Macaca fascicularis: one gene and its partner. The protein of the gene in region 1 purifies or fractionates together with the protein of each later gene. This does not show direct contact. Links are inferred from orthologs where the notes say so. Each region holds a gene or a part of one and is shown on either strand. Other genes may lie near its edges.

Evidence for each region. Proteins that work in one complex are often made in the same cells at the same time.
Region 2: the proteins of GIPC1 (region 1) and SH3BP4 purify together in Homo sapiens (affinity purification with mass spectrometry; 4 studies listed by BioGRID and IntAct, with this or other methods). This does not show direct contact. The link is inferred for Macaca fascicularis from reciprocal best matches to the Homo sapiens genes GIPC1 and SH3BP4.

Annotation. Positions count from the first base shown.
Region 1 is NC_088393.1:14,913,676-14,919,629, forward strand, and holds part of GIPC1 (PDZ domain-containing protein GIPC1), read right to left. Parts: intron 4,806-5,954; 5' UTR 4,776-4,805; coding exon 4,488-4,775; intron 2,027-4,487; coding exon 1,841-2,026; intron 1,734-1,840; coding exon 1,553-1,733; intron 849-1,552; coding exon 736-848; intron 104-735; coding exon 22-103; intron 1-21. UniProt on the Homo sapiens protein: May be involved in G protein-linked signaling.
Region 2 is NC_088386.1:130,941,992-130,947,945, reverse strand, and holds part of SH3BP4 (SH3 domain-binding protein 4), read right to left. Parts: intron 3,189-5,954; 5' UTR 3,056-3,188; coding exon of another isoform or gene 2,938-3,055; intron 2,401-2,937; 5' UTR 2,285-2,400; coding exon 2,074-2,284; intron 1-2,073. UniProt on the Homo sapiens protein: May function in transferrin receptor internalization at the plasma membrane through a cargo-specific control of clathrin-mediated endocytosis.

The DNA of each region.
Region 1 (5,954 bases):
CCGCAGGCAGCCCTCACTTACCCAACTCCGTGTCCCTGATACCCATGTAACTCTCCAGCAGGTCATCCACCTTCTCAATGGCCTTCTCTTCAAAGGCGGAGGGCTGGGGGCCAGGAGGGGTGACAGCGACATCATAACAATGTGAATATACATTGTAATTGGACTGACCGCCCTTGTCACCACTTTACATATATTCCTATTTAGACCTCAGGACAACCCTGAGAAGAAGGTATCGGTGTTCATCTCATCCCCATTTTACTGATGGGCAAACTGAGGCCCACGTGCCCAAGGAAGGTCCCTGGGAGCTGGGAAGTGGCAGAAGTGGACTAGAATCCAGGCTGTCTGCCCAGAGTCCCCTCAGCTAACAGATGATGCTGCCTACTATGAAAAGGAAGTGAGGGCTGGGGGTGGTGGCTCACGCCTATAATCCCAGCACTTTGGGAGGCCAAGGAGGCTGGATCACCTGAGGCCAGGAGTTCGAGACCAGCCTGGCCAACATGGTGAAACCCCGTCTCTACTAAAAATACAAAAATCAGCCGGGCATGGTGGCGGGCGCCTGTAGTCCCAGCTACTTGGGAGGCTGAGGCAGGAGAATTGCTTGAACCTGTGAGGCTGAGGTTGCAGTGAGCCGAGATCGAGCTACTATACTCCAGCCTGGGTGACAACAGTGAGACTCTGTCTCAAAAAAAAGAAAGGGAAGGAATGCTGGAGATAGGGTCCAGCTGGAGCACTCACCAGATCCTCCACCGTGGCAGGGCCCCGGGATCGGAGCCGCAGGGTCCCTCGGCCAGTGCCCAGTTGTGGGCCAGAGCCAGGGCGGCCACCCGCTGAGCGTTGGCTGATCATGTCTGTGGGAGGTAGGAGAGGGGTGCGTGTGGGGGAAGCTCGGTTTTAGCACGCTCTGGGCAGGAACTTGGCCCTCCTGGCTTTCGACACCACCCCAAACTTCTCCAAGCTTCTGCAAGTTCCTGGGGGCTGGGGCCAGGGCAGGAATCCTGACTCAGGCCTGGCATGGATGTGGGGCAGAGCAGGGGGGACAGCTGGGGGCCAGGAATAGGAAATGCTAGAGGGGAGACTGGAGGGGCCACTTCTGCTCCCAGGGGCTGGGACAGGAAGCGGGTGTACCCCAGCCTGAGTCTCCAGCTGCCTGAGTCCGTCTCCTCTTGGCCAAGGGGGTATGGCTCCCGGGCCACAGACCAGCCCTACCTGCCCGGGGAAGTGATTCAGTCCCCCACCCCCATCTCAGGGGCCTGGGGCCCATTCCTTAGAGTTAGTGAAGCCAGATGGAAAAGTGGGGGGGCTGGTACTGAGCGGCCAAGTCTGACCTGTTAGGGGTGGGGGCTGGCCAGGGGTGAGGACACCTTCCTCCTTGCCCCCGCCCTTCTCTCCGGCTGGGCCAAGGACCAGCACCTCGTCTCGGGACCGGGAGGAGCTGCACCCACTTCCCTTTCGGCTGCCCAGGCTCGGGCGCCACCTGCTGGCCGCTCCCGGCACCACCGCCTGCGCCCGTGTGAGCAGCGCCATTGGGGAGGTGCAGGGGGCGGCTCCTCACCGAAGGCCTTGCGAGGCTCCGTGAGCTTCAGCGTGAAGGTACGGCCTCGGGGCAGCTCCTTGAGCAGCCGGGCCACCTCGTAGTGCCGGCAGCCCAGCAGGCTCTGCCCGTTAATGGCCTCGATCATGTCGCCCACGCTGATGAGGTGGATGTGGTCGATCACGCTGCCCTCCTTGATGCGCTGCGGGGATGGCGAGTCATCAGCCCTTGGGGCTCTGCCTTGGTTTCCAGGGTCCCGTGGCCCACCCTCACTCCCAGGCCTCCGAGGTGCCCCGTCTCCCCAGGCACCTTGATGAAGGCGTAGCCAGCCCCGTTGTCCGTGATGGTGAGCCCGAGTGCATCCTCCGACTTGAACACCTCCACCTCCTTGCGCTGCCCCTTCACGTGGGCGAAGATGAAGTCCTCCAGCCCGATCTGGCCCCCCAGGAGCTTGTCCATGTCCACTTTGTGGGTGTTCAGGGTGCAGAACATCACCTGCAGGGGTGGGAGACGCTGAACCCTCTCCCCCCTCCCTCCCCCTTTGCTAATCACCACTGGAGGGCGAAGGGAGAGAGCTGGGAGAGGACTAGGAGCATTCCATCCCAGTGCCCGATCACCCACTGAGCCAGGGCCAGGGCAGGGCCCGCATTAGCGTGTCAGCTCTGCTAGGACTAGGATTTAATTTTCCTTTATTTTTTTAAATTTATTTTTATTTTTTTTTGAGACGGAGTCTCGCTCTGCCGCCCAGGCTGGAGTGCAGTGGCCGGATCTCAGTTCACTGCAAGCTCCGCCTCCCGGGTTTACGCCATTCTCCTGCCTCAGCCTCCCGAGTAGCTGGGACTACAGGCGTCCGCCACGTCGCCCCGCTAGTTTTTTGTATTTTTAGTAGAGACGGGGTTTCACCGTGTTAGCCAGGATGGTCTCGATCTGCTGACCTCGTGATCCGCCTGTCTCGGCCTCCCAAAGTGCTGGGATTACAGGCTTGAGCCACCGTGCCCGGCCTCCTTTTATTTATTTTCAGACAGGGTCTTGCTCTGTCACCCAGGCTGGAGCGCAGTGGTGCAATCATAGTCACTGCAGCCTCAATCTCCCAGATTCCGGCAATCTTCCCACCTCAGCCTCCCAAGTAGCTGGAACTACAACTAGCCATGCCTGGCTAATTTTTGTATTTTTTGTGGAGATATGGGGTCTCACTATGTTGCACAGGCTGGTCTCCAATTCCTGGGCTCAAGTGATCCTCCCATCTCAGTCTCCCGAGTAGCTGGGACCACAGGCACACGCCACCACACCCACATAGTTAAAATAATTTTTTTTAGAGATGAGAGCCTCATTATGTTGCCCAGGCTGGCCTGGAACTCCTGAGTTCCAGTGATCCCCCCTACCTCAACCTCCCAAGTAGCTGGGACTATAGGTGTGCACCACTGTACCCAGCTAGGATTTCTGTCCTAGCAAAAATTCATTGCTGTGCCGGGCGCGGTGGCTCACACCTGTAATCCCAACACTTTGGGAGGTCAAGGCAGGTAGATCACGAGGTCAGGAGATCAAGACCAGCCTGACCAACATGGTGAAATCCTGTCTCTACTAAAAATACAAAAATTAGGCCGGGCGCGGTGGCTCAAGCCTGTAATCCCAGCACTTTGGGAGGCCGAGACGGGCGGATCACGAGGTCAGGAGATCGAGACCATCCTGGATAACACAGTGAAACCTCGTCTCTATTAAGAAATACAAAAAACTAGCCGGGCGAGGTGGCGGGCGCCTGTAGTCCCAGCTACTCGGGAGGCTGAGGCAGGAGAATGGCGTGAACCTGGGAGGCGGAGCTTGCAGTGAGCTGAGATCCGGCCACTGCACTCCAGCCTGGGTGACAGAGCGAGACTCCGTCTCAAAAAAAAAAATAAATAAATAAAAATAAAAATACAAAAATTAGCTGGGCATGGTGACAGGCACCTGCAATCCCAACTACTTGGGAGGCTGAGGCAGGAGAATGGTTTGAATCCAGGAGGTGGAGGTTGCAGTGAGCCAAGATTACACGATTGCACTCCAGCCTGGTGACAGAGCAAAACTCCATCTCAAAAAAAAAAAAAAAAATTCATTGCTGCTTTCAGGGAATGGAGCCTGGCACACAGTGAGTGCTCAGGAAATACTTGTGGAGGACACAGAAACTCGCCCCACTTATGGAGACCCCTGCATCTACTTGTTCAAACCCACTATTGCCATCCTTGCCCCCCTCCCATCCATCCCCACAGTGCTTGGTGCCAGGCAAGCCAGCCTCCCAGTGTTGGGATTCTCCAAGGAATCACGGAGAAGTGCATCTTGTATCTGGCCTCCAGCCTCCACCATCTCCTGGGGCACTGGCCTCCCAATGCCTGATGGGAACTCAGCATCCAGGTTTGGCCTCCAGTTCTCCATACTTCACTGGGGCACAGGCCTCCTAATGCCTGATGGGAACTCAGCGTCCAGCCCTGGCTGTCAGTCTTGCACAATAGACTGGGATGCAGGCCTCTCAATCCATCCATACAATCAATACATCCAGCCCCGGCCTCCCACAGTCCATTGAAGCTCAGGTATCCCAGTGCCTGCTGGGAACTCAGCATCCAGCCCTGGCCATCAGTCTTGCATAATCTACTGGGGGTACAGCCCTCCCAGTGCCTGATGGGATGTCAGCATGCAGCCCTGGTCATCAGCTCCCACAACCCACTGGGGCACAGGCCTCGCAGTACCTGAGGGGAACTCAGCATCCAGCCCTGGCTTCCAGTTCCCCACAGTTCACAGGGGCACAGGCCTCCCAGTGCCTGATGGGAACTCAGATCCAGCCCAGGCCATTGGCCCCCGCCACTGAGTGGGGCACAGGCTTAGCATCTGCAGCTTTGGCATCTGAACCCCAGCTCACAAATGGGATGCAGGCCCAGGCCTCTGGCCCACCATCAGGGACCCTGGTGCCCGATTCCCCAGTGGGTACCTCGGCAGTTGGCAGGCGGAAGGCCTCGGCGATCTTGCCATACAGCTCCTTGACGTTGGTGAAGCCCTCGATGCGGCCAGTGGGACTGCCATGGGCCAGCTGGGTGTGGAACACAAGGCGGGGCCGCAGGGCTGGGGGAGGGGGGGGCAAGCCCATTTGGGGCCCCCCCGCCCCACCTCCGCCCAGGGGCCCTGGCTCCCCCACGCCCAGCCCGCCACGGCCTGGCTCAGCCTCCTCATTTTCCACTAGAGGGGGCGCCTTTTTCCGCCGCCCCAGTCCCAGCGGCATGAGCAGCGAGAAGTGGGGTCACCAGAGGATCTGTAGGAGAGGAAGTGGGGCTCAGGGTCTGGGCAAGGGCCTTGGGTGCCCCTCCCACACTACTCAAACCAGACAGGCCCAAGAAAGTACTCAGAGAACAAACTGGCCTCCGTTGAAATCCTCATCTCTTGTATAGTGATGGGACACTTTTATATAAAAGTAGTAACGGGGCTGGGTGCAGTGGCTCACGCCTGTAATCCCACCACTATGGAAGGCTGAGGTGGGTGGAGTACTTGAGGTCAGGAGTTTGAAACCAGCCTGGCCAACATGGTGAAACACCACATCTACTAAAAATATAAAAATTAGCCAGGTGTGGTGGTGCGCACCTGTGATCCCAGCTACTCGGGAGGCTCAGGCACAAGAATAGCTTGAACCTGGGAGGTGGAGGTTGCAGCGAGCCGAGATCGCGCCACAGCACTCTAGCCTGGGTGACAGACTAAGGCTTTGTCAAAAAATAAACAAATAAATAAATAAAATAAAATACTCACACCTGTAATCCCAGCACTGTGGGAGGCTGAGACGGGAGGATCACTTGAGGTCAGGAGTTCAAGATTCCCGACCAACATGTCGAAATCCCATCTCCACCAAAAATACACAAAAAGTAGCCAAGCACGCCTGTAATCTCAGCAATTCAAGAGGCTGAGGCGTGAGAATTGCTTGAACCCAGGAGGCGGAGGTTGCAGTGAGCCAAGATCACACCACTGCACTCCATCCTGAGCTAAAGAGCAAGACTCTATCTCAAGAATAGTAACAGCAGCAGCTAGGATTATTGCTTTGTGACCTTGTTTGCTTGTTTCGTTTGTTGTTGTGACAGGGTCTTGCTCTGTCACCTAGACTGGAGTGTAGTGGTATAATTAAAGCTCACTGCAGCCTTGATCTCCCAGGCTCAAGGGATCCTCACGCCTGTCTCTCAAATAGCTGGGACCATAGGCACATGCCATGAAGCTCAGCTAACCTTTATTTTATTTTTTTGAGATGGAGTCTCACTTTGTCCCCTAGGCTGGAGTGCAGTGGTGTGATCTGGGCTCGCTGCAACCTCCGCCTCCCGAGTTCAAGCGATTCTTGAGGAGATCCTGACCTTTTTTTTTTTTTTTTTGAGACTGAGTCTTGCTCTATTGCCCAGGCTGGAGTGCAGTGGTGCAATCTCAG
Region 2 (5,954 bases), on another chromosome or scaffold:
AGAGCAGGGGCTCAATGAGTATTTGTGGAATGAATGATCATCGTGCGTGCATAAATGACACAGAGAAGCCATAGTCTGTGTTATTGGATCCTGGTGCTGGTCAAAGCAATGTCTGAATTCCCCCCGGCTATGCTCTTGTGCTCTAAAAAAATCATAAAACTGACAAATTATTTAATATGAGATGGAAGTGAACAAAAACCTGTGAAAGAAAATGGCTCTGATGGAGAAGTGGGAAGAAGTTATGTGGGTCAGGCTGAGGCCAGAGGATACAGAAGCTCTTCTCCCCTATTTCTGCTTGCTAGTCATGATCTCCAGGAATATCAACCATTTTGTCTCCTTGACACATCTACTGGAAATGTCACATAAAGATGAAAAAAACTAAATGGAAATTAAATAAAGCTTGCCGGCCATCAAAATCTTGCCAGAATCCCTCAAAGGTTATGTCCTTATTATGCTCCCCCAGAATAATTCCCTTATAGTCGTTTCAAAACTAAGAAACCAAAGCAATCAAGCATGCTTTGTGCATAGCCTAGAATGTATCAACGAGAATTATCACTCAGTTTCATCCAACTGAAGAATTAAGAACGGTTTCACTTAAAATTCCCAGCACTCTCCTTGGAAGAGAAGTCGTCACAGATTTCACTCAAGGGATCAGGCTTACCCAAGGGAAACCACCCCACTCTTCCTTTCCAGAATCCCAGGAAGGTGGACTGTTGTGTGATAACCCCTTCTAGACGAGGTCCTCCATCAGTCAACTGCCACCAAGCAGCTGGGGACCCTGGGGAAGGGCTTCCATCCCATCAAATGCCAGAGAATCCTTATCGAATTACATCTTAATGAATTCTGAGGAGTGTTACCCAGATTCACAGCCACCTCGATTCTAATACAAAAAATCTCCCTGGGTTTTAGGAAGTTCAATGTACTGAATAATACATTTCCTATCCCTCTGCCTACGTTCTTCTGCAGGCAAAACATTCATCAGAGCAGAAGGTTCCACGGCAGATATTTTGGCTGAAATAAATTCCCACCTTGGAGTCTGTCTATCACCGGGATGTGCGTGAAGCTTCTGGCTGGCGCACTGCCTGGGTCACATGTGGTGCCTTGGAGGTAGACTCCCCAGGATCTCTGGGCGAGACCGGAGATCCCACGGTTCTGTCAACCTCAGATTCTCAAAACATCCTCCTCCTCACATTCGAGGCTGTCTTGTTTGTCTTCCTCCTCTAAATTTGGGAGTCTTTTAGGGATAACAGCCAATATTTCCTCCAGAGCACTGTCATTATTATTATTATTATTATTATTAATTTATTTATTTTGGAGACAGAGTCTCAGAGTGCAGTGGTGTGATCTCAGCTCACGGCAACCACCGCCTCCTGGGTTCAAGTGATTCTCCTGTCTGAGCCTCCTGAGTAGCTGGGATTACAGGTACGTTCCACCAGGACTGGCTAATTTTTGGTATTTTTAGTAGAGACAGGGTTTCACCACGTTGGCCAGGCTGGTCTCGAGCTCCTGACCTTGTGATCCGCCTGCCTCGGCCTCCTAAAGTGCTGGGATTACAGGTGTGAGCCACTGTGCCCAGCCCGCTGTCATTATTTTAAAAAGTTCACCTCACTTTAAGACTCTGCCCTCCTCACTGTAACACTCTGCCCAAATCACACAATTTATGTTCCCTAGTCCTAGCTTTGACTCTGAGTTGGGCCATAAAGTAAAAAAAAAACAATGTCCATTAACAGAATCTGAAAAATAAATGCTTCAGTTATTTATGGCAACACCCAATCACTGTTGTTCTCTTATTAATAACATCTCATACTGGCTAGCCTTTTATTTTAAAGAACATTTACAGCAATGCTCAGGGATGCCAGCATCAATCAGAGGCAGGGAGAAGATGTTTGGGATAAAGGGGAAGGAGAAGCTACTCAATTAGACAGACATAAACACAGTGCGTATAATTTCTAGTACATCAGGATAGAGGATTACAACTTTATCTGGGGGATAGCGGTTTAGTTCAAGAAACATTTACTTAGCACTGACTTTAGGCCGGGGCTGAGGATACAAAGGTCAAAGTCAAGTTCCTACTTTTCAGCTGTGCTCCAGGCAAGACAATTTCAACAGCTAAGAGAAAGCCAAGGGATGATGATATTGATGATGATGCTGCCGTCACTGCAGCTGCCAAGCCCCGAGGGAGCACGTTGAGAGAGACTGAATGTGGCCTAGGTTGGGGCAGATGTCCAGGAAGAAAATGCCCTACTGGTATCAACCTTGGTGTCCAAAAGATAGGTCTTCTCATGAACTCAATTTTATGCGGCCACTGGAGAAACCCGGAAACCCAGGGTTATCAAACCTTAGGACCACCTTCTAGAACAGGGATTGGTAAAGCACGGCCCTGGGGCCACACGGGGTTGTCTGCAAAAAAAAAAAAGTTGTCTTGGAACACGACTGTGGCTATTTAATGACTTACTTCTGTGGCTGCTTTCATGCAACAAAGCAGCAATGAATAGTAGTGACAGAGATGGTATATGGCCTGCAAAGCTTCAAATATTTCCTATCAGACCGTTTAGAGAAAAGGTTTGCTGACCCCTCCCCTAAGCCACCTTTTTTTCTTCTCTAGTGGTTCTCACTATTTCATCTATTTGCCACACTCTCTGTTCCCCTGGGTTTCTGCGCCACCAAGCTCCCTACCACACTGTCACTGAATTTTATCACGAAAAAAGAAACATACCCTGTATTAAGAAGGGGTTTCACTAATAAGGGGGAACCAAAAAATAAGACAAGCGGCTATGGGTCTAGGGCTAAACCTACGAACACGGTGAAGTTTAAAGAACTAAACTTTAATGATCTGAATGCTAAACTGGCGATCTTTAAAGCAGAAAAGTTCCTGAGTTCCAACTTGGAAATCCCAACGTTCTCCCTTAGCCACAGTCCTGTTCCCCAGAAGCTCACCTTTGACATCATTAAAGCTCGTCTCTGAAAACCCTTCGCTCAGGTCAATCAGGGTCCCCTCTGACTTGCAGCGAGGGAGGCCGCTGGAGTTGGCAGCTCGGATCCGCTGAGCCGCCATCTCGAAACTCGCTTCCCGGGTAAAGCTGCTAAGGCTTCATATTTCTTCCTCCAGTTATCCCAGCAGACGCTGAAGCTTCCGCCTCAAGCAAACATGCTGCGCGGCGGCATCCACTTGGCAATATGCCTTCTTCCTGAAAGTAGAGGAGGAAAAAAAAGTCCCCTGAGCAAGCGAAACATGGGTTCAATGGTAATTTTATGGGAAGTTGAATCCTCTTTCTTCCAGATTGTTCCAATGAGGATAGACCCATTTCATCCTTCCTGGCCCCACAGAGCAGAGCAGCACTTGCTCCTTGGCCTCTGTGCCCACTTTGTGCTTGTCTCATTGGCACCCTGGGCACACACAGCCCAGCAGTGTTTTCTGGCTATTTGCACCTGCTCTTCTTGGGAGCACAAGAGTGTTTGTGAAATGTGTTCCAGGCCAGCCCATTCATTACAGTCAAAGAGGAGGACAGAGTAGGACTGTACAGTCCACGCTGCTAGCTGCAGGGCTCGGAAAAGGAAAAATCGGCTTCTGCTTGTTCAGAGTGGTTGATTCCAGTGCAGGAGCAGTCATCATGGTGACTCGGCCCTGGGAAGCGGCCATCAATGGCACAGCCCAGCAGAGGCCCCAAGGGTGATGCTCCCTACCCATCCGCTGCTGAAATCCCCCCTGCACCCCAAATAAACAATTCTAAACACAACACAGAGCGGCCATAAGGTATTCTCAATGCAACGTATGCAGATGCAATGTATGCAGATGAAACCAGGGCATATTTACTGAACCACTGTAACTAAGCAGGAAAGATCTTTCCGTGGAAGAGACCCCAAGAATCACCCCTAAGGCCTCTGCTTTTTTTTCTGGACAGGCACACAGACAGGACAGAAGCATGTTACGGGTTCTGGATATGAATGAGGTAACTGGCTTTGAGCAGGCCCTTCACCAGGGCCCAGGAGAAGGGACAGGAAGAGCAGTGAGCCGATTTCAAAGCGGTGAATTTCATATGCTCTCCAAGAGAAACTGGCAGACACTGTCATAGCAGGCCACAGTACATAGAGCTCTGAGCAAGCAAATCTCACCCCTACATAACCAGGCACATATACGATGGTCTGAGGTCCCTTATTCCTCAATTGCTCTATCCAGAGACAGCTGAGAATGTAGCTTCTGACCCAGCATGCCGCCTTTACCTTGCAGAGACCCAGAGGCCCTGACACCACCCTTTGCAACGTTTCTGCAGCAGCCGGGACAGAACCCTGACCATCCCCATTCTTCCCCCAGGCTCCAAGTGCAGTGAGCACGGCTTGGAGGGCCCCTGTGCAGTAAGCAGAGCCAGGCGTGTGTCCACATGCTGCTATAGGGGCAATCTTGTGTTCAGTATTTAACCCTGCCGAGTCTCAGCCACCGTCACCACTGCATCAGAAGCTGCAATTCCAGCTCCGAGTGACCGGCGGACAGTGGCTCAAGGGAGGCATCGTTTCCACGTCAAGGCCTCAGAAGGCTGCACTCTGCACCTGAACGCTGTCTGGACAGAAGGCATGTATTACGGACTGAACTATGTTTCCCTAAAGTCCTATGTTGAAGCTCTGTCCCCTAACGTGATGGCACTGGGAGATGGGGCAGTGGGGAGTAGTTAGAGTTACAAGAGGTCATGAAGGTGGGGTCCCCATGATCAGATCAGCACCTTTATTTGAGACACCAGAGAGCTTCCGTTCTCTCTCCCTCTACCACGTGAGGACACATGAAGCCAGGAAGAGGGCCTTCCCAGGAACAGAGTTGGCCGGCGCCTTGATTTTGGACTTCTGGGCCCTGGAACTGTGAGAGATGAGCCTCCCGTGCTGGAGCCGCTGGGGCTGTGGTGCTTGAGCGCAGCCGGCAGCAGGAGAGGAAGGCACGGCGGCCACCTCTCTGGGGAGGGGCAGAGCCGCTCTGTTGGGGGCCCTTCCCTTAGAAAACACCCACCTGAGGCCAGCCTCGCCGTCTCTCCTACCCAGCATGGTAGGGAGGGGCGGAGTGGAGACCAGCACGCACACAGGCCAGTTACTCACAGGAAGGAATGAAGCTGTTCTCCCCAAACTGGGTGGTCACAGATGTTTCCATCTTTCCCTATGAAGTTACAATGGTCAGGTCTGCATGCTCATTCCCTATTCCCGGCCCCAGAGAACCGTGCGTTGGGGAGACCACAGGCTCCCTGGATGCCCGGGACCCAGACTGCCTGGCTGGAAGTGACGGAGCTCAGGCCAGGAGGCAGCCTCCTTCCACCCCACACTCCACTCCTCTGCTGGGGTCTGGGACGCTGAGGCTCAACACTGACGGGACAACACCCTCGCCCCCTACCAGAAGCGGTGACCGAGTGGCTCTGTCTGCACAGCCTGCGTGCAGAGCTGGATGAAGGGGTCTTGCCGCCACTTGAGAGACCCTCCTACCACAGCCAGGTAGCCCGGCAGCCCCCAAATGCAAGGGCCACACGTGCAAGCCCCTGGGCTGCTTGGAGGCCACTGCGGAGACCTCAGTGACGGCCACCTCCAGAGCAGCCTGACTTCAACAGGCTGAGTGAGGAGTAAAAATCCTTCCCATACAAAAATGCGGGATCATTTACTGCAGAGAACTGATGCGGAGAGAAAATGAAGAGACCCATGAGTGGGTGAGGGGAGGAGCTTCAGGACAATCGCAAGCCCACAACCAGTACTTGCCATGCGGCCTTTCACGTGTGACGGTGACAGTTCCTGCCTGAGAGTCTCCATCTGACTGCACCCGAGGAGGAGGAAAAGTCAGGGGGTGTCAGCTGTGAGGGCAACTGGAGCCCACCTGCCCATCCGGTGAGGGACTGGGGTGCCCCCACCCCCACCAGTCCAGAGCTACTCTGAGGACTGCGCCGGATGAGACTCTGGGTCACCGTGGCCGAACGAAGGCTCCTGTTAAT